Linked DNA regions of Cricetulus griseus. Each later gene encodes a partner of the first gene's protein in a complex. Links are inferred from orthologs where the notes say so. Each region holds a gene or a part of one and is shown in the gene's direction. Other genes may lie near its edges.

Evidence for each region.
Region 2: Strn4 (region 1) and Strip2 share a complex: the UniProt entries of both Homo sapiens proteins name them as parts of the core of STRIPAK complex. The link is inferred for Cricetulus griseus from reciprocal best matches to the Homo sapiens genes STRN4 and STRIP2.
Region 3: Strn4 (region 1) and Stk25 share a complex: the UniProt entries of both Homo sapiens proteins name them as parts of the core of STRIPAK complex. The link is inferred for Cricetulus griseus from reciprocal best matches to the Homo sapiens genes STRN4 and STK25.
Region 4: Strn4 (region 1) and Stk24 share a complex: the UniProt entries of both Homo sapiens proteins name them as parts of the core of STRIPAK complex. The link is inferred for Cricetulus griseus from reciprocal best matches to the Homo sapiens genes STRN4 and STK24.
Region 5: Strn4 (region 1) and Stk26 share a complex: the UniProt entries of both Homo sapiens proteins name them as parts of the core of STRIPAK complex. The link is inferred for Cricetulus griseus from reciprocal best matches to the Homo sapiens genes STRN4 and STK26.

The regions. Positions count from the first base shown.
Region 1 is NC_048602.1:11,454,555-11,458,340, forward strand, and holds part of Strn4 (striatin-4), read left to right. Parts: intron 1-1,950; coding exon 1,951-2,148; intron 2,149-3,786. UniProt on the Homo sapiens protein: Calmodulin-binding scaffolding protein which is the center of the striatin-interacting phosphatase and kinase (STRIPAK) complexes.
Region 2 is NW_023276806.1:197,887,722-197,891,507, reverse strand, and holds part of Strip2 (striatin-interacting protein 2), read left to right. Parts: coding exon 1-51; intron 52-1,276; coding exon 1,277-1,480; intron 1,481-2,621; coding exon 2,622-2,857; intron 2,858-3,119; coding exon 3,120-3,185; intron 3,186-3,745; coding exon 3,746-3,786. UniProt on the Homo sapiens protein: Plays a role in the regulation of cell morphology and cytoskeletal organization. Required in the control of cell shape. Calmodulin-binding scaffolding protein which is the center of the striatin-interacting phosphatase and kinase (STRIPAK) complexes.
Region 3 is NC_048595.1:445,073,062-445,076,847, reverse strand, and holds part of Stk25 (serine/threonine-protein kinase 25), read left to right. Parts: intron 1-2,699; coding exon 2,700-2,930; intron 2,931-3,786. UniProt on the Homo sapiens protein: Oxidant stress-activated serine/threonine kinase that may play a role in the response to environmental stress.
Region 4 is NW_023276807.1:271,163,554-271,168,106, reverse strand, and holds the end of Stk24 (serine/threonine-protein kinase 24), read left to right. Parts: intron 1-175; coding exon 176-312; intron 313-2,770; coding exon 2,771-2,807; 3' UTR 2,808-3,798; downstream 3,799-4,553. UniProt on the Homo sapiens protein: Serine/threonine-protein kinase that acts on both serine and threonine residues and promotes apoptosis in response to stress stimuli and caspase activation.
Region 5 is NC_048604.1:19,058,762-19,062,070, reverse strand, and holds part of Stk26 (serine/threonine-protein kinase 26), read left to right. Parts: intron 1-36; coding exon 37-145; intron 146-234; coding exon 235-392; intron 393-1,112; coding exon 1,113-1,298; intron 1,299-2,299; coding exon 2,300-2,448; intron 2,449-3,309. UniProt on the Homo sapiens protein: Serine/threonine-protein kinase that acts as a mediator of cell growth. Modulates apoptosis. In association with STK24 negatively regulates Golgi reorientation in polarized cell migration upon RHO activation.

The DNA.
Region 1 (3,786 bases):
GATCTCTGTGAGTTCGAGGCCAGCCTGGTCTACAAGAGCTAGTTCCAGGGCAGCCTCCAAAGCCACAGAGAAACCCTGTCTCGAAAAACCAAATTAAAAAAAAAAAAAAAAAAAAAAAAATCACCACCATGTAATAGGCACCCTTCTGGAAAGCCAGAGATCTCAAGAGCCAATCCATCGTGAGGTGTTTTAGTCTTAGGACTCATGACAGACCTCAGGAAGCTGACCTCGACTGCCTTCAGCTCACTCTCTGCAAACAAACCACTGCTAGCTTAAGTGGGCACTAATAACCCCGGAGGGCTGTGAAGCAAATGTAATGAGAGCCAGTCACATGTGCCTGTACTGTGTAACTGCTGGCTTGGCCCTGATTCTCACGGTGCAGAGACCATTTGGTAAATGCAGCCACCTCTAGATTGCTGGGCTTCTCCACCCCTCTTGTCCCCTGGGAGATGAGAGCCTGGGCCATATGCAAGCATTGCAGTGGTGAGCCAAGCAGAGGAGGGCACAGACACCCTAAGGGGCCTCTAACAGAGCAGCGAGGCAGTGTTGTCCCTTAACTTTGGAAGCCACAGATCCCCTTGATTGACTTTTTGATCTTTTTCTCTTCTTCTTTTTCTTTTTCCTTTAGGCCAGTGTCAGCTGGCTTCAGTTTTTTAAGTTGCAGAAGTAATAAATGCTCAGGTGTAGAAGTAAGTAGAACGATACACAGCGGTAGAGCGCTTGCCTCGCATGCTCAAGGCCCTGGGGCCCATCCCCAGCGCTGCAGGAAAAACAGTGTACTCTTGTGTTCTGGATCCTCCCCTGCAGAGGTCACTGTTGCTCAGTTTATGTCTGTCTTCTAGGCGTCCGGGAAGCAAGCACCAGTGTGTGTGTGTGTGTGTGTGTGTGTGTGTGTGTGTGTGTGTGTGTGTGATGTGTGTGTGTGTGTGTGTGTGTGTGTGTGTGTGTGTGTGTGTGATGTGTGTGTGTGTGTGTGTGTGTGTGTGTGTGTGTGTGTGTGTGTGTGTGTGTGTGTGTGTGTGTGTGTGTGTGATGTGTGTGTGTGTGTGTGTGTGTGTGTGTGTGTGTGTGTGTGTGTGTGTGTGTGTGTGTGTGTGTGTGTGTGTGTGTGTGTGTGTGTGTGTGTGTGTGTGATGTGTGTGTGTGTGTGTGTGTGTGTGTGTGTGTGTGTGTGTGTGTGTGTGTGTGTGTGTGTGTGTGTGTGTGTGTGTGTTGTGTGTGTGTGTGTGTGTGTGTGTGATGTGTGTGTGTGTGTGATGTGTGTGTGTGTGTGTGTGTGTGTGTGTGTGTGTGTGTGTGTGTGTGTGTGTGTGTGTGGTGTGTGTGTGTGTGTGTGTGTGTGTGTGTGTGTGTGTGTGTGTGTGTGTGTGTGTGTGTGTGTGTGTGTGTGTGTGTGTGTGTGTGTGTGTGAGTGTGTGTGTGTGTGTGTGTGTGTGTGTGTGTGTGAGTGTGTGAGTGTGAGTGTGTGTGTGTGTGTGTGTGTGTGTGTGTGTGTCTGTGTGTGTGTGTGTGTGAGTGTGAGTGTGTGTGTGTGTGTGTGTGTGTGTGATGAAAACATATGCACACCTTCACACTCTTCCATTTTTATAAAACCTGGAATCCCATGGAACATGGAACATACACCATGTTCGCTGTGCTGCTGATCACAGCCATCTTCCGTGGCGCTCTGCCTTCGTCACCTTCCGCCTAGCGTCCGTCAATGGACATCTGGCTTTTCCTGCACGTGGGCTCTCCCCTACATGTCGGGGACACCGTGTGCCATAGCAGCATGCATGGGGACCAGGGCTTCCATTGAGAAGTATCAGAAGCCAAACTGCTGCTCAGGGGTTGCTTCTGAAAAATTGCCGTATGCTCTTTGGTGGCCCTTCAGAAGGCTGCTGGGTTCTGCATGGCCCCAGCGGCCAGAGTAGCTTAATTCATGTGTAGGCTGACCTGACTCTGCCCCCACAGATACCTGGAAGAGGTGGGCTACACAGATACCATCCTGGACATGAGGTCCAAGCGTGTGCGTTCCCTTCTGGGTCGCTCCGTGGAGCTCAATGGGGCCACTGAGCCTATCGAGGGGCCACCCAGGGCTTCACCAGGCCCCGGAGGACTTAGCGGTGGCGAGTCTCTGCTGGTAAAACAGATCGAGGAACAGATCAAGAGGTGAGCCCCCGAGCAGGCATGATGTTCTTCCTCCCTGCAGCTGTTCTGCCGGCCCTGCTAGATTGTGTGGTAGGCTCCACCATTGCTAGGCTTCCCCTGTAGGTTGTCACACGGCCTTTGTTCCTAGCTGAGGATAGCCCTCGGGTGGTTTGATTGCAGCGGGAAACAGGTGAGGAGGCATATCTACTCTTGTCTTGGGGCTCATTTTGTTCATCTTCCCATGGGTAGTTGGTATTGTCAGAAGCAGTAGCGTCATCCTTAGGTGACGTTGAGTGCTATGAAGAATGTGAAGAGAGTGACAGGAAATTGCCAGGTACTGTGGCACACCCCTGTGGCCCCAGCTACTCAGGAGGCAGAGGCAGGAGATTGCTTGAGCCCAGGGGTTGGAGACCAGCCTGGCCAGGAGAAAAAATAAAAAAAAAAGTAACAGGAGTAGTAGTACTCTTGGTGGCTGGAAGATAGGACTACTTTGTGGGGGTAGCATTCTGCCAGAGAATGTCAGGAAAGAATGCTGTCTAGGCAAGGGAAGGGTCGGATTCTAAGACAGAAAGGACTTGATATGTGTGGAAAGCAGGAGACCTGTGGCATGACTGTTGCAGTAAACACAGAGTCTTGTGGCCTGTGGTCTGTGGTAAGGCCAGATCTCGGGAGGCAGATCACGAAGTGCCTACCAGGCCACGATAAACAGGGGATGCTTACCCACAGGGCTGTGGGAAGCCAGTGGTTTCCAGCAGGGGTATATCATCTGACGTCTTAGTCTGCTTTGAGGAGAGATTGCGGAAGCAGGGAGGCCAGGTGGGGGCTGACTGTAGGGTCTAGGCCAGGGCTGATGGACCTTAGCAATGGACGGGTAAGAACTAGGCCTTGTAAAGGACTTGGGGAAAGGAAAGAAGAGGGAGGGTTGTCTGAGGAATGGAGTGGCACCTTCTGAAGTCAGGATCCAGGTGGGGAGTGGCAGGAGTTGATGCAGTTTTGCAGCTGTGTTGAGGTTAAGTTGCCATATGTCCTACATCAAGAGGCCACGTGTAGCTTGGAGCCCTAAACATCTCTCTAGTTTAAGGGAACTGATGTTTGGGGAGGGATCCCACTGTGGGCCCCGAGGGCTCCTCAGTCTTGAGATTGACAAGGAAAGGTGGAGGAGGAAGCAGCAGCCAGAGAGGAGGCAGAGGTGGGTGTGGACGGAGCAAGTCCTCAAAGGACAGTATTCTGGAGTGGCCAGAGAGCGTGCTCTGTATTGATCTCCGTAGAAAGTGTAGCTGTGTCCTGGCAGTTGACGGTTCTGGTGTGCCAGTAGACCGCGGGAGGGAGGGAGGGTGGGTGTCCCTAAGGAGGAATGCTGCCTGTGTGATGGGGCAAGGCTCTCCCATGTCCATGTTAGTTGACAGCGAAGAGTTGGAGGTGACCGAGTCTTGCAGGGCGGCCGCTGCTCCTGGGCTGATTAGGGCAGAGGCACCGGGCAGTGACTTCTTCTTACCCAGCTCATATTTGACTTGGTCAGATGTGGGCAGGCATGTTCAGGGGATGCTCTGTCACCATGGCTGGAATTCAGTGGGCGGGAAGCAGACCTTAGGTCTGTACAAAGGTCCCAGGAATGATGGTGCATGGCAGAGGCTGAATAAGAAGAGGCTGCTCGGGCTG
Region 2 (3,786 bases), on another chromosome or scaffold:
CCTCACTTTCCAATAAAGAAGGTTCTGCTTCTGCTCTGGAAGGTGGTTATGGTGAGTGATCTCCATTCCCGTCTCACTGATCAGAGCTAGACAGCAGAACTGGCTATCTGTTAGCCCCAGCTAACTGAGAGGAGCAAAAGGCCCACCTAGAATCATCAAATATTCTGTATCATTGGGTTTCTGTTTCTATTGGATGAATCCATTGGATGTCACTCTATGAGTTGAAGATGTCAATGGCACCTTTTTCCTAAAAGAACTGATGTTTCTTAGAAAGAACCCTAGCTGATCATTGGGAATCTGACTCTGTCCATACCAATGAACCTTGGACAATTCTGTACCTGTTTCTATAGCTATGAAATGTTAAGATTAATGCATGCCTTTTCTTCCAGTAGAGGATGGGTGTCCTTTCAAGTATATAGTTAATAATTTGTTATTTATTATTTAATCCGATCCTTCATCCCATCGTCTCCCTCTGGCTCCCATCCCATAGGGCTGGAGGAACAACACACCCTCTTAGTGGGCCTCATAGGGTAAACCACCTCTTGATTACAGAGGAAGCTATGTGACTCTAGGACGTTGTAATATCTGAATATGCTCCTTAAAATTGATTGCGCCCAGGATAGTGGAACATGGTTGTAAAACTAGCACTCGTCAGACAGGCATAAAGACTGAAGGTTTAAGGCCAGCTTGAGCTACACATTGAGACCCTGCTCAAGAAACAAAACAAAGGGAGGATTGCCTCCTAATTTTTAAATTTTTTCCAGTGGAGCCCACCCTCCTCTAATATTTACTGCTATTTCCAACCCTGGGTCAATAAATAATGCTGTGTTTTATTCTGACACTAGAGATCCTCAGACTGAAGTGGTAACAATGTTTGTTTCTTCTTGTTTTTCTGCTTCCTTGTACAAAAGGCAGTGTGAGGAAATTGGAAGATGTGGTTCTTTCCTTCTGTCCATGTTTCTCTGCCTTTGTTCTCTATGACTGCCCTCTCTCACCCCTCTCTTCTCTTCCTCCTTTTTCTGCATAACAATTTTTTTAATTACAATATAATTACACCATTTTCCCCTTTCCCTTTCCTCTCTTTAACATCTTCCATGTACCCACCCCTTGCTCCTTGCTCTCTCTGAAATTCATAGCCTCTTTTTCTTTAGTTATTGTCACATGTGCATATATATATATATATATATATAATATATATATATATATATAAATGCAACATGCTCAGGGCTGACTGGTGGGTACTGGATAACCTCCCTTTTTCTTTTTAACTCTTTAGTTTACCCTTGGTGGATTTGAGCATCTGCAGGCTCTCAAAATACAGAAGCGCGCAGAGTTGGGCCTGCCTCCACTGGCTGAGGACAGTATCCAGGTCGTAAAGAGTATGCGTGCTGCCTCCCCACCTTCTTACACTCTCGATCTGGGGGAGTCTCAGCTGGCCCCTCCACCCTCCAAGCTGCGGGGCCGCCGTGGTTCTCGAAGGGTATGGATCAAGCATATGGTAGTGTTGGGGTATTGACTGGTCAAAAATCAGGGTTCTCAGATGCTACGGATGTGGCAGGAAAGGGCAGTAAATGGCCATCCCAGGTTGGCCCTGTAGCCAGCATGAATCCTTAGAATCTACACTTTGGCACCTGACCATGGATTATTGTCTGGACCTCAGTGACTAGAGTTGCTTAGCCTCCTAAATAGGGGTTATGTTAGAATTCTGAGAGTAGGTACCCTGAAAAGAGCACCTAGCAAATCTACATGCCTATCATGAATCACTTACCATTTTCTTGGCAGCAAGAAATTTTATTTTGAGCCACCATACTCCATCTGGCCTTGGACCACGAGCTTACATTTGTGAGGTGGCTAGATAGGGTTCTAGGCAGTGTATATTATTGAGACGTTCTAAATAATTGAGCCTTGACCACATTTTTCATGAACTCACCTGCCTGACCTACCCAAGTTTACCAATTAAAGGTGACAGGGTCACACAATCCAGTCTAAATTATAAGCAGAATGACTTTATTAAAAAAAAAAAAAAAAAACCTTTCTCTTTTGTTTCATAAAGTAATGCTTACTCATTGTAGAAAATTTGGAACAGATGTAAAAATGTGATGAAGAGAGAAAAATCACCCACAAGCTTAACAACCAGAGGCAGTGACTATTAACTTTTTGGCCTATTTCTGTCCAGTCTTTTTTTCCCCTTTATGCAATGAGATTTAACATTCTAAACTCACATTCCTCTGCCTGGCAGCAAGCTTCTGTCATCTTCTTCCTCAGTCAGCCAGCTGGTGTATGCTGACAGAAAGCAAACTAATTGTATGTTCACCTAAGCAGAGCATAATTAGGAAGGAAAATGCTTGGGAGGGCAGGGAACGTGGCGCATCCATCAGTGCCTCTGGAACCTAACTAGCTCCCACACTGGTGCTATCTGTGCTCTGTTTCCTGGCCATGGTCATTTTTCCTGGGAGCTGCTTGTCCAGTGACTGAGTCCAGTGAGTTGTAAGATTGAGATGGATGATGGAATGTTCTCATAGTAGATGGGTTTCAACCTTATGGTTCCTGAAGTCTAGAGAGAGTGACTTCAGACAAGGGTGCCACAAGCTCTATAATTTCCTCTCTCTCACCACTGCCAGCAACTCCTCACCAAGCAAGACAGCCTGGACATCTACAATGAAAGGGATCTCTTCAAGACTGAGGAGCCAGCCACAGAGGAAGAAGAAGAGTCTGCAGCTGATGGAGAACGAGCCTTGGATGGAGAGTTAGACCTACTAGAGCAGGATCCTCTGGTGCCACCTCCACCCTCACAGACACCTCTCTCTACTGACCGAGTAGCCTTTCCCAAGGGCCTTCCCTGGGCACCAAAGGTCAGGTAGGTTTAATGGCACTAGTGATCCTGAGCATTGAGATTCCAATCGCTGAAGAGCCAGGTGGACTAGCATACATGTTGAGTGTTCATTAACCTGGTGTGGTAATTACAACACCTGGTTTTGAAGTTCTTTCTGTCTTCTTCTACTGCTCTAGTCCTTCCAAAACGAAGAATCAGGAGCTCTGAAAATTCCTCTTTCTCAAGGTTGTTTTGTTTTGTTTTCTTCCTCTCCCTGGTATTGGTTTCTTCACCATCATCATCTCAGACAGAAGGACATTGAGCACTTCTTGGAGATGAGCAGAAATAAGTTCATTGGATTCACCCTGGGGCAGTAAGTGACTAGATATTCAAAAGTGAATATAAAGTATATCTTAGAAGGCCATGAATTTTCCTCACTAGCCTTTATAAAGCTAGAAGGGATTTCATTGTCAAAGGTATCATTAGGCTACATATTCCTTTAAGTGGGAATCTGTCACCTGCAGGCCAAGTGAATAACTAAAAGACTATATGATATAAATCTAACTTTCAGAAATACTTCTGTGTGTCATTGTTATTTTTGTGACATTAAGATGATGGACCTGGAGTCTTATATAAGAAGGTATAAGGCTAGGCAGTGGTGGTGCACACCTTTAGTCCCAGCATTTGGAAGGCAGAGGCAGTTGGATCTCTGTGAGTTTGAGGCCAGCCTGGTCTACAGAGTGAGTTCCAAGACAGGCTCCAAAGCTACGGAGAAACCCTATCTCAAAAAAAAAAAAAAAAAAAAAAAAAAGAAGAAGGTATAGGAAACAGGGGTAGATGCTTGAAGTGTGTGGACCCTATGATTCCAGAGTGTATGGGTAGTTTTCTCTTCTGTTAAGAATATCATGGTTTGGTGTTTTGGGCCTCTTACAGGGACACAGATACCTTGGTTGGATTACCTCGACCCATCCATG
Region 3 (3,786 bases), on another chromosome or scaffold:
GCCTAAGGGACCTCAGCACTCAGCTTTATCTGTCTGGCCAAATCTCAGCGTGGCCTTTCAGGACTTCAGGCTGCAGTTCTGCTCCAAGCATCTACTGCTGCTCAGTGAGAACTGGTCTTAGGATTTGGCTGCCAGTTCTAATGATTACATTTATTTTTGGATGGGTAGGTATGTATGTACCACAGTGTAAATATTAGAAGACCACTTATGGAAATTGGTTTCCTCCTTCCATGTGGTCCAGGGATCAAACCCAGGTTGTTAGGTTTGGTGACAAGTGCTTTTACCCACTGAGCCATCTGGTCTTGGTCTTTTTCTTTTCCTTCCTTCCTTTTTCTTTTTTGTTGTCGTCATCTTCTTTAAAAAAAAAAATAGGTTTATTTACTTTACGTGTATGTGTGAGTATATGCATGTATGCATGTGTGCATCACATGTGGGAAGTGCTTGAGATCACGTGGGCTGTTGGGAACCAAACCCATGTGCTCTTAACTACCGAGCCATCTCTCTAGCCCCCTGGCCAAACCAGAGCACATACGGACACCACAGCTAGTCTGCTCAGAGTGCCTGCTCTGGGCCAGGCATGGCACTGTGGCACACACTCGGGCCTCTTGGAGGCAGCTTTGCTTAGAGGGGTTAGGTGACTTCTGTGTTAAGACACTGCCCTTGTGCCTGGAGTTCTTCCCCGAACTTCTCTCTGCTCACCTCATCTTGTTCTGCAGTTCTTGGCTTGTCGAGGGCTGGGGAGTGTGGTCCTCTGTCTCTTCCCTTTACTTCTTTCACGGTTAAAAACCTTAAGAATGTAGCTAGTTGGCAATTTTGTCTCAGATGGGGTCTGAAACCAGTTGCTTTGCTTGCAGAGAAGAAGCTGGGGCAGTTAGGCTTCAGGGAATCAGGCAGCTATGTCAGTTTTGGAGGACAGGCTTCTTAGAAACATGGTAAACACCTAGGACAGGCTCTTCCCTAAGCAGAGGGATTTGCGCATCAGTACTTAGACAGTTGTAAATAAGTGTGGTTTTGCCTTTTTGTGTCTCGGCCTCCCACCCCCCCATTTGGGAGCTGAATTCCAGGCCTTGGGCATGCTAGGCAAGTGCTCTGCCACTGAGTTATTTCCATGGTCCCCCCCTTAAAAACAAAACAACACCTCTCCGTGTGTGTACCATGGCATGTGTGTTGTCACTGGACAGCTTTGGGAGTCAGTTCTCTTCCACCATGTGGTCTAGGGAACCAAACTCAGGTTGTTAGTCTTGGTAGCAAGTGCCTCTACCAGAAGAACCATCTTACCCGCCTGATTTGGGTTCCTTTTAACAGGCACCAAAATACTGTTTGGGGGACATCCTTTTGGGGTGACCATCTCCTAATGGAGGTGAAACTTAGCATGGTTGAAAACCTGGATGAGACTCAGCATTCCCCTTTGAGGTCTTGTGCCAGCGTGGCCAGTGGTATGGAGAACATGTTCTTTTCCAGTCTGCCAGGTAGCACAGTAGGGACATTCAGTGGTGGCCCTGGGAGAGGCTCTTCTGCTTCTTTCCTCTCTGGAGGCAGCCCTGATTCAAAACCTAGCGTGGTTTGGACAGAGCACACACCTTTGCCATCCTGGCTCATCTTCAACATGATCGGTTCAGCAATGATAAGATCCTAGTTAAATCTGAGGGCTGTCTAGGGTAGCTTGTAATGATAAATCTTTACGCCCAGCTGCCTGAGTCCTGCTGCCATGTGGACGCTTTCCACCAGGCCATCTGAGTTCCGCCCGCCACCACATTAAGGTCCCAAGTAACTCCCAGAGACTTATATTAGGTACAAATGCTTCTGTGTTTAGTATCTAGAATTAAACATCTGAGAAAGTGTTCAACTCAGTACTGGTATGAGAATGTAGCTGGCTAGAGGACTAATTTGAGAATAGAGAGGCACTTTAAGTATGGAAAACATAAGTTAGCTTTGCTAAATTTTAATCTCTCGTTTTGTTTTTGATTTTTTGAGACAGAGTTTCTTTGTTTAACAGTTCTGACTATCTGGAATTCTGGAACTAGCTCTGTAAATCAGGCTGGTCTTGAACTCAGAGATCTGCCTGCCTCTGCCTCCTGAGTGCTGTGACTAAAGGCATGCGCCATGCCTGGATGAATTTTACTTTTAAATTACTGGGGCTATGCACATGTGAGTGCAGGTGTTCTCCAAGGCCAGAGACCTCAGATCCCCTGGAGCTAAGGTTGTAGCAGTGAGCACACACTGTAAGACCAGTGTGTGCTCTTGGCCACCAAGCCATCTTTCCAGTCCATTACTTTGTTGTTTTTTTTTTTTAGAACAGTTTTAGATTTATAGTAAAATGAGTTTTACAGTACCCTCTGGCACGCACATACTCCTACCTGTCATTCCTGATAGGTCTTGGCCTGGCTCTCTGTTAGACAACTGAAGAAGGCACTTTGAGATGTGGTATTGCTAATACATTTGATTCTAAATATACATTTGAGTTGAGTCTACAGATACTTTGATTCACTGTATCAAGTCTATTGAATATAGTGTCACTTGGAGAGTGGAGAGTTACATTTAGGTTTTCTGGACAAGGGATAAAGAAGCCAGAAAAGGATTGAGGTGAGTTCTCTTTAGCTCCTTGCAGTGGCCCAGACCCTCAGTCAGCAGTCAGCCCTCTTCTAGTATTTCCTCTAGTGGGTGTTGTCTCAGCATTCTGTCCCTTCTGGCTTATGTAGAATTCTCGTGTGGACCCAGAGGAACTCTTCACCAAGCTTGACCGCATTGGCAAGGGCTCGTTTGGGGAGGTGTACAAAGGCATCGACAACCAAACCAAGGAGGTGGTGGCCATCAAGATCATTGACCTGGAAGAGGCAGAGGATGAGATTGAGGACATCCAGCAGGAGATCACTGTGCTCAGCCAGTGTGACAGCCCTTACATCACCCGCTACTTCGGCTCCTACCTGAAGGTGCTGCCAGGAGAGGGGGCATCTATGGGAGTGGGGGGGCACTGAAGGCTCTGTGCCAGGGTTTGTCCTGTTTCCAGAGGAGTTACTATGTACCCAAGGTAGAGGAGAGCAGAGAAAGGCACTGCTGGGCACATGGGGATCCCTCTGGAAGGGCAAAGAGGCTCCCCTTTACCCCAAAGCTCAGCTTCACAAAAAAGTCTGTTCTTTTGAGAAGTACAATCTACAAGAGTCAGGTGGCTCTAAAGTGGTCATAGTGACCCAGCTGTCTTATCTGTGGGTGCTGTTAGGTACAGTCTAAGGGGTCCCTGCTGGCAGTACTGTGGAGGTCTGCCAGGAGGGCACTTGGGCTATTGAAAAAGACTTAGTGACTGCTCTGGGCACTTGGTCTGTCCACCAAGTGCCTGTACCAGAGGTATGGTAGCTGGGTGGTCAGTAAGACCTTTTCTCCTGCCCCTTCCTCTGGACAGGGTCTCTGCAGACCAGCCTGGCCTTGAACTCACAAAAGATCTGCCTATGTCTCTAAGTGCTGGAATTAAGGTGTATGCTTCCTTTTTTTGTTTGGTTTTGTGTGTGTGTTATTTTGTTTTTAAGACAGGGTCTCATTGTGTAGTTGTTTGTCCTGGAACTCAGCCACCTGCCACTCGAGTGCTGGGATTAAAGGCATGTGCCACCATGCTTGGCTTGGCCCTTCTTTTTAAAAATATTAATTTATTATTATTTTTACCTATATGTGTCGCGTGCGTGCGCGTGTACACGTGCGTGCCTGAGGAGGCCAGAAGAGGTTGGTGGATGTCCCCGGAACAGGAGCCGCATGCTGCTGGTGTTGGGAATTGAAAGAGCATCAAGTGCTCTTACT
Region 4 (4,553 bases), on another chromosome or scaffold:
CCTATATGTACATAATGTTCATAGAGGCCCAAGATAGGTGTCCCAGAGTGACTGAGCAGCCACCAAGCTCATGCCTGATCCCTTGACAGCCTGACGTGGTGGTGTCGGTGATGGCATCAGGGCCCACCCAGGTTTGTGCACACACATGTCTCATTGCTCTTGTATACATTTTCAGCTGAAGGAGAAGAGCCAGGCATGTGGAGGAAACTTGGGGTCAATAGAAGAGCTCCGAGGAGCCATCTATTTGGCAGAAGAGGCTTGCCCTGGGATCTCTGACACCATGGTGGCTCAGCTTGTGCAGCGGCTGCAGAGGTAACTGGCCTTGGGCTGGAGCGGGTTTGTAGGAGGGGAGCCTGGTGGTGCGGCATGGCTTCCTGGACTAGGAAGCTGCCACAGGCCGCAGCTTGGCATATCTCTTGGGTGCTTCATTCTTGACTGTTCCTGTTGTCCCCCAGACCAGGGGCTTACAGCAAAACCTATTGAAGGCTTATTCTGAAGTGTACAAATGAAAGAAATGAATCTGGGAAAGACCACAGAGCCTTGCATTTATAGCTCTTGCCAGAGAAATGCAAGATGCCTTAAAAGACCTCTGTGTCCGTGGTCTTACAAGCAGAGAGACAGAGCCTCAGTCACAATGCTTACTGGGAGCTGGGTTTGAAGCCAGAGGCTTTGGTGTGCCATGCTTAGAGCTGTGCTTGTAGGTCTGTGCTGTGGCTCGGTGCCTCCCACTCTTGAGGCCATTGAAGGAGAGTGGTCTCTTTAAGATTGCCCCAGATTTGATTCTAAAGGCAGCAGCTTGTTACAGAAATAAAGGAAAAATAAGCCTGAAACCCATTCTGTGGGCTCACCTGGCAGGTCTCTGTGAGTTCTTTAACTTGGGATCATTCCATATCCTCCTTGGTGGCATAAGTGTCACTTTTCTGTGATGTGTGTGCGTTTGCTGGTATACCTGTGTGGGCAGAGGTATGCCTCTCAGGAGCTGATTTCTCTCCTGTCACTTTTTAAATCCAGGGATCTAATTCAGTTTATCAGGTGTGTCTATAAACACCTCCTACCTGCTGAGTGCCTTCTGAGTGAGTGAGTGTGAGTGTGTGTGTGTGTGCGCGTGCGCGAGAGCGCGTGTTTGAATTTTTGTGGTGCCAGGACTTTATCCTTTCATCTATAGCATTCTAGGCAGTATTCTGCCATTGAGCTGTAGTCCCAGCCTTCTCACACATGGAATCTCAAATTTGCTAGAAACTACCAAAATAGTAAAGAGGAAAAACAATTTTAATAAGTTTGATATTTTCCTCTGCCAGTTTATAATCATTATAAATAATTACCTATTGAGATATTTTGCATTGTTTTCTTTGGTGTTAAACCTTTGAAATCTGCTTTGAATTACATACGGTTACATCTTCTTCAATTCAAACTTAGATTTCAAGCAGACGCTCATGGCCTTTGGGCTAAGTAGACCCTCCTAAGTTATCAGATAGACAATTGTCTCCATCAACATGGATAAGGCTTTCCATTTTCGTCCTTGGCGTTCTTGGAGCCCCACCAGCCATAGGGTGATGCTCAACCAGAGGTTGTCACGTAGGCTTCTTCCTGGTTTGTTGCCACATGAGTGGTTTGGGCAGTCTCTTCAGAAGTGACTTCTGTCTGAAGTATTTTCAGGGCTTTTGGATCCTCCACTCACAGGAGGAGAAACTTAACCCATGGCAAGTCATTTGTAGCTCTTGGTGCTCCAGGGCACTGCTCAGAGCATCTGTGAACCTATTTGAGTGCTCAGTGTGTTTAAAGGGAACTCTGGGAGGCATGTTGGCAATGAGTTTTCTTAAATATGTCCTTGGCCATCTTCCTGGCCCTGTGATTTGATGTCAGTTTTGAGTGATTAAAAAATCTTGGCCATTATACCATTTAGCATTCAAAAGCAAGACAATGTTTTTGTTTTTAAACAAGTGACATGGGCCCTACGGTTGTGACCCGGTTATTACCATCTCTCCTGTCTTTTAATATATTGCCTTCTGATGTCACATATGCAAGGTGTTCATGTGGACACACAGACCGTCTTCTGGGCCACATTGTGGCTTGCCTGGCCAGCCTCCATATTGCTGCCCCAAAGAATTGCTGAGTGTAGACTCAAACTAACCATGGGCCTGTGTCCCTGAGCTTGGTTACCACCAGTTTTCAATAGATTTTGGGCTGGAGAGGACTCTGTGGGTGAGGGGCTTCCTTCCAGCAGAAGACCTGGGTGTAGGCCCAACACCACACAAAAAGGCTTTCTGTCCCAGCATGGGGGAGGGGTGTTGGCCAGAGATACAGGTAGATTCTGGAGGCTTGCTGGCCAACCAGCCTAGACAGAATGGCTAGCTCCAACCCAGTAGGAGATGCTGTGTGGAGAAGTAAGATGGAGAACACTGGAGGGGGGATCCCAGAGATGGTCTCTTGACTCCGCAAGAGCTTGCATGGCTGTGCATCCCCCCCCCCACACACACACAAAGCAGGATGATCCTAGGTGTCTTTTGCTGTTTTAATGACACTCTTCTCCAGGGAGACTGAACTTAAGGCTTGCCTTTTATCTACTATGAGTTTTTGTGTTAGAACCAGAATTTTCTTTGTCATTATAAACTCTTGTATAATAGATCTGGTAACCTGCCGGTTCCACTGGTGATTTTTTAAAAGACTTTGAAATTTCTGTAAAGAATGTAGAGTTTTGGTTTGGTGTCAGCAGTTTTGTTCAGGTGTGAGAAATAATGTATACTGATTTCTCTCTTTGCTTTCTCCTTAGATACTCTCTGAGTGGTGGAGGAACTTCAGCTCACTGAGATGCCTTTGGCATCGGGTTTGGTTTTTCCTTTCTTCTTCATCTTCCTCCTTATTAAAAGTCAATGAGCGCCTTTGCTGTCTCTGAGAAGAGGTGTCACGGAGGGGCCCCGCCCTCCTGTAGCCGCCAGCACCTGTCCAGGGACACGGTCCTCATCGTGCTGCAGCCAGTGGAGTCTTTCAGATGGGGTGGGGAGGGTCTACTCCTTCAAGCAATTATTTTATTTTTTTATCGTTTTTAATTTTAATCATAGTGCACATATTCAAAGAAAAATTATCTTTAACAAAAACCCTGAAATGTATATTTGGGTTGTGACAAGGCAGTTGAAGACATGCAACCTCAGGTACCTGCTTCATGTTGATAGCTCCTGCCCCGGGAGACTGAGTCGCTCTGGTGGATCATGTACAGACTTGTATATAGCGTCATTTTTACGGAAATTTTGGCGTGCGTAAGGGATCACTGTGTACACATCGGCCAAGTGCTTCTGTAGATAATCTATCTCTGTGGAGTAAATATTTGACAGGCCAGAACTTGAGTCTATTGCCTTGCCTTTATTACATGTAAATTTTGAACTCCGTGACCAGTGATTTGGATTTTATTTTGTATTTACAGGGTCTGTCATGAATAATAATTAGCACCCTCCCAACCCCCACGGAACACTCCTGTTTGTACCTCAAAAACATGCAAATTCTCCCTCACTTTCCCTTTGCCCCCTTTGGTACTCTTGGAAGTTTTTCTTTCTCATCGATGGTACTGTTTTCATTGTGTTTTCAGTTGGGACATATCTTTTTTCACAGAGCTTTACATTACTCTGAGTTCCTCCCGGATGAAGCACCCTCATCTAGTCTTTGTTGAGTTGTGCCTTTGTGTCTGCACCAGCTGTACCGTCCTGTCCACACCTTTCCGTTGAACCTGGTCGTAGAATCTGCATATCATTTTCCCATCATGAAAGTGTCTGAATGCTTACACCAATAAATTTTATAACTCACTCATTTTGCATACTGTTCTTAAAAAACATGGCTCTGCAGAGGGGTCGGGGCACTTGCTCTGCACACGCGTATGGTTGGGTAAGCGTATGTGTGGAGACTCTGGGGAAAGGGCCCAGATGTCAAACAGCCAAACGTCCACGTTAGTGTCCTATGCGACTGTGTGGCTGGTCACTGGGATATGGCCAGTTCGGGTTTGCGGAGCTGCTGATGCTCTTGCCGAGGACTTGGATGGGTGGGTTCAGTTCTCGTCAAGGAGCTGGTCCTGACGCTATCAGCCAGGCTATCTGCTTGTGTACTACAGAGCGTTGCTTGGCAGGGTGGGAATTCTTGGGTTCTCAGAGCAGGTCTTACTCAGATCTCTGTAGTGTTTCCATTTGCTCATGCTGATTTTGTCCTCTTCTTGGAGTGCTGGGTCTCAGGGAACATAGTTTTTGGAGCAGGAACTTTGGGTGAACTTGGGGATGTCTGCTTGGCCTTGTGGGTGTGTGGTAGCCTCGATGTTACAGGAAGGGCAGCCCAAGACTAGAGGTCCTGGCTGAGATGACAGTTTAGATTAAATGGGGGTCTAGGTTTTTAGACTATAATAAATTGTGGTACTCTACAAGAAGTAGATTTGGGCTGGATTAATTATTTCAACCAAGGATACATTTTGGCTAGGGGAAATAGAACCAACCACAGTTGTGACTGTGTTTTTGTTTTTTTAAGTCTGTGTATCACGTGTGCAGTGCCCATGGAGGCCAGAAGAGGACGCTGGAGCC
Region 5 (3,309 bases), on another chromosome or scaffold:
TAAAGTGTGTGAGTGTACGTGTGTTTTCTCCTTAAGCTACGTGCTGGTCCATTTGATGAATTCCAGATTGCCACCATGCTCAAGGAGATTTTGAAAGGTCTGGACTATCTTCATTCTGAAAAGAAAATTCACCGAGACATTAAAGGTATACAAAAGTCAAATAGAAACCTGAGAAAAACAGATACATTTTGGGGAAGCTGAGAGATACTCACTTTGTTTTTCTTTGCCCCCTAGCTGCCAATGTCTTGCTTTCTGAGCAAGGTGATGTTAAGCTTGCTGACTTTGGAGTTGCTGGCCAGCTGACAGATACACAAATTAAAAGAAACACCTTTGTGGGAACTCCATTTTGGATGGCTCCTGAAGTTATTCAACAGTCAGCTTACGACTCTAAAGTAAAGTATTCCACATGCAGATGGAATTAATTGGATATGGCCTTGTCAATAAGCTTTTTAATTTTTCCTTGCTTCACAAGTGCTTCTAAAAGAAATTATGTCGTATTTTGTTTCTTAATCGTAAATCCCTTTGGTGTTGGTAATATTTGAGCCCTATTTATTTCAATGGTTTTTCAACCCACTTGGAATAAAATCTAGAGTCCTCATAGTCACATATATGGCCACTGATGATCTGGCCATTTGATGTCTATCCACCCTTGTCTTCTACCACTGTCATCTGTACTCTCAGCTATTATGGCCTCATTGTTCCTCAAACACAAGTACATTTTGACCTCAGGAGTTTTCTCTTGCTTTCCCCTTTGTCTGGAATAGCCTAGCTCCCAGTGAGCTCTCTCTAAACATCCCTAACCATCCCACATAAACATGTAGCTCCTTTCTTTGCTTTGCTCGATATTCCCTTATTCTGCTTTTTGTGTCTTCACAGAACTTAGTTCCATATGACATCATGTTACTCATTTATCTTTCCCTCTTATTAGAATGTAAGCCTCTTCAAGGCAAGGACTTTCATCTGGTTTATTTAGCACTCAATTAGTGTTGTGCCTGTACAAAATATGAGATTTAAAGTGTTAATTCATGAATTCCATTAACTAAAATTATAATTCACCACATTTCTTGATATGTCAATGTGATAAAAAGTTTGTGTTATTGTTTCTGCTTTAGGCTGACATTTGGTCTTTGGGAATTACTGCTATTGAACTTGCCAAGGGAGAGCCTCCGAATTCTGACATGCACCCAATGAGAGTTCTGTTTCTTATTCCAAAAAACAACCCTCCAACTCTTGTTGGAGACTTTACTAAGTCTTTTAAGGAATTCATTGATGCTTGCCTGAATAAAGATCCATCATTTGTGAGTATATGCTGTTATTACCACTGGTGGTTTCCAATTGTTCTATCTACTTCTAACAAAGGTGGTGTTTCCTATATGGAGAATACAATGTGAAAAACATCTGTGATCCACCCACGAAGCTGGTTTCTCCTTCTGTATTGCTAATTCCACTCTGTTCTTAACCAGATTCTTGGTCTTGTTTTTTCCTCCCTGACATCATCTTCTTAGTTCCCAGCTACCTGATAATATTCTATTTCAAGAAAAAAGTTTGGGGAAATAATTCATTAGCTTTCTATTACTTACTTAGTAAAGTAGGCATGTGCCATTAGTGAGGGAATTGACTAAATTTATTACATGTCTTAGTGTTGTTAAAATAAAGCTGCTTTTCACTCCTGGTGATTAAATATACATGAGCACCTTTCTAAGCTGGATGTAACCATTTTATGTTGACAGTAAACATTATAATATTAATGAAATACTGAAGGGGACATATTCCCTACAGCACTTGCTGTTTGCATTCATGTACAATAAGAATTAGTGTTTGATAGAAAAGCATATACTAAGATGTGGTCAGATAATGACAAAATTAGGGATTCATAAGATGTGCAGATAATAACAAAATTACAGCAATCTTGCTCATTTGCATGATTTTTCAAAAATTACAGTCAGTGTAATAAAGTGTCTTAAATGTTGTTTTGACATTTTTAGATGGTTACTTTCTAAGTCCCGCTATTGCTGAGAAAGCTTTGTTGAGTGGCATGCTGGTGAGGTATCCTAGCATCTGTCTACTGTGCTTTAACAAATCAGGCTGCTAAAACAACCAATTTCAATTGGCTACCTTGACCCACTTGAAGAAATAAAATGGTCAGTTTTCCTATTACATTTTAATTGTCCTCCTGTTCATAGATCCAGTTTTGTAGATTTCAGTGTAATAATTCAAATGGTGTTTTACTACCTGTCTCTCCCCAAAAGATCCTCAAAATAGTCATGAGTCCTTTTCTTTGTGTGTGTCTGTGCCTTAGCGTCCTACAGCAAAAGAACTTTTGAAACATAAGTTCATTGTAAAAAATTCAAAGAAGACTTCTTATCTGACCGAACTGATCGATCGATTTAAGAGATGGAAGGCAGAAGGACACAGTGATGACGAATCGGACTCCGAGGGCTCTGACTCGTATGTACAAGTTACTGTTATTTTTATGTTGGCAGCCTGTTTTCATATGCTCTGCCTTTCGCAGTGACCTAGTGTGCTTGCTTTCAACTAAGTTATAAATCACCGTGAGGGCTCATTTCAGCCACTGTGAAGTTTCTTGATGGTTCATGGAATACAATGAGCTTGGAAACACACTTTGGAAGAGAAAAGCTCTGCTTTTAAATGGTCTCGGTCTAACCCCTAGTGGATACTTGAGTATATTACAAAATTTTGGAATACGATTTGATTAAAGGTGTTCTATTAGTTCATGAGAAGCAATAAGGAGCTATTTTCTCATACAGTGATTACAACTTGCAAAACCCTTTGGAGAACTGCTGTCACAGCCCTTCCTACTTCCTGGTCCCAGACCAAATTGATCAGACTGATCCGTGAACTGTGACAACTATTTACTTATGTATGGTTTTTACCCTATGGACAAGTTAGTCTTTTTGAAAAATGCCAGTATTTCTGCTTCTGTGTGCTCATCTTAACTTGAGTAGAAGAATTCAAGGGCTGAACCAGGATTTAGTCTTTTGGTATGTAGACCTCCACAGAGGTAGCACCCTATGTCGTCACAATATTCTCAGGCACCTGCATTTATGAGAAATTGCCCAATATTTGAAATGAATAAAATATCTCAGTATGTAGTTTGTGCCCAGTTTAAGGCTTGTTAACCTTAACTGCCCATGAAAACTTCTTGATGGAACTTTAAAAACACAAGGCATTCTACAGGGTTCGTGATTCAGGCATAGGGGAATGGCAGTATTAACAATATAGCGCTATGCACATAGTATTTGGATGATCAGTTAGAGCTGAGAAATGCTCTGTTCTTGAATCAAATGG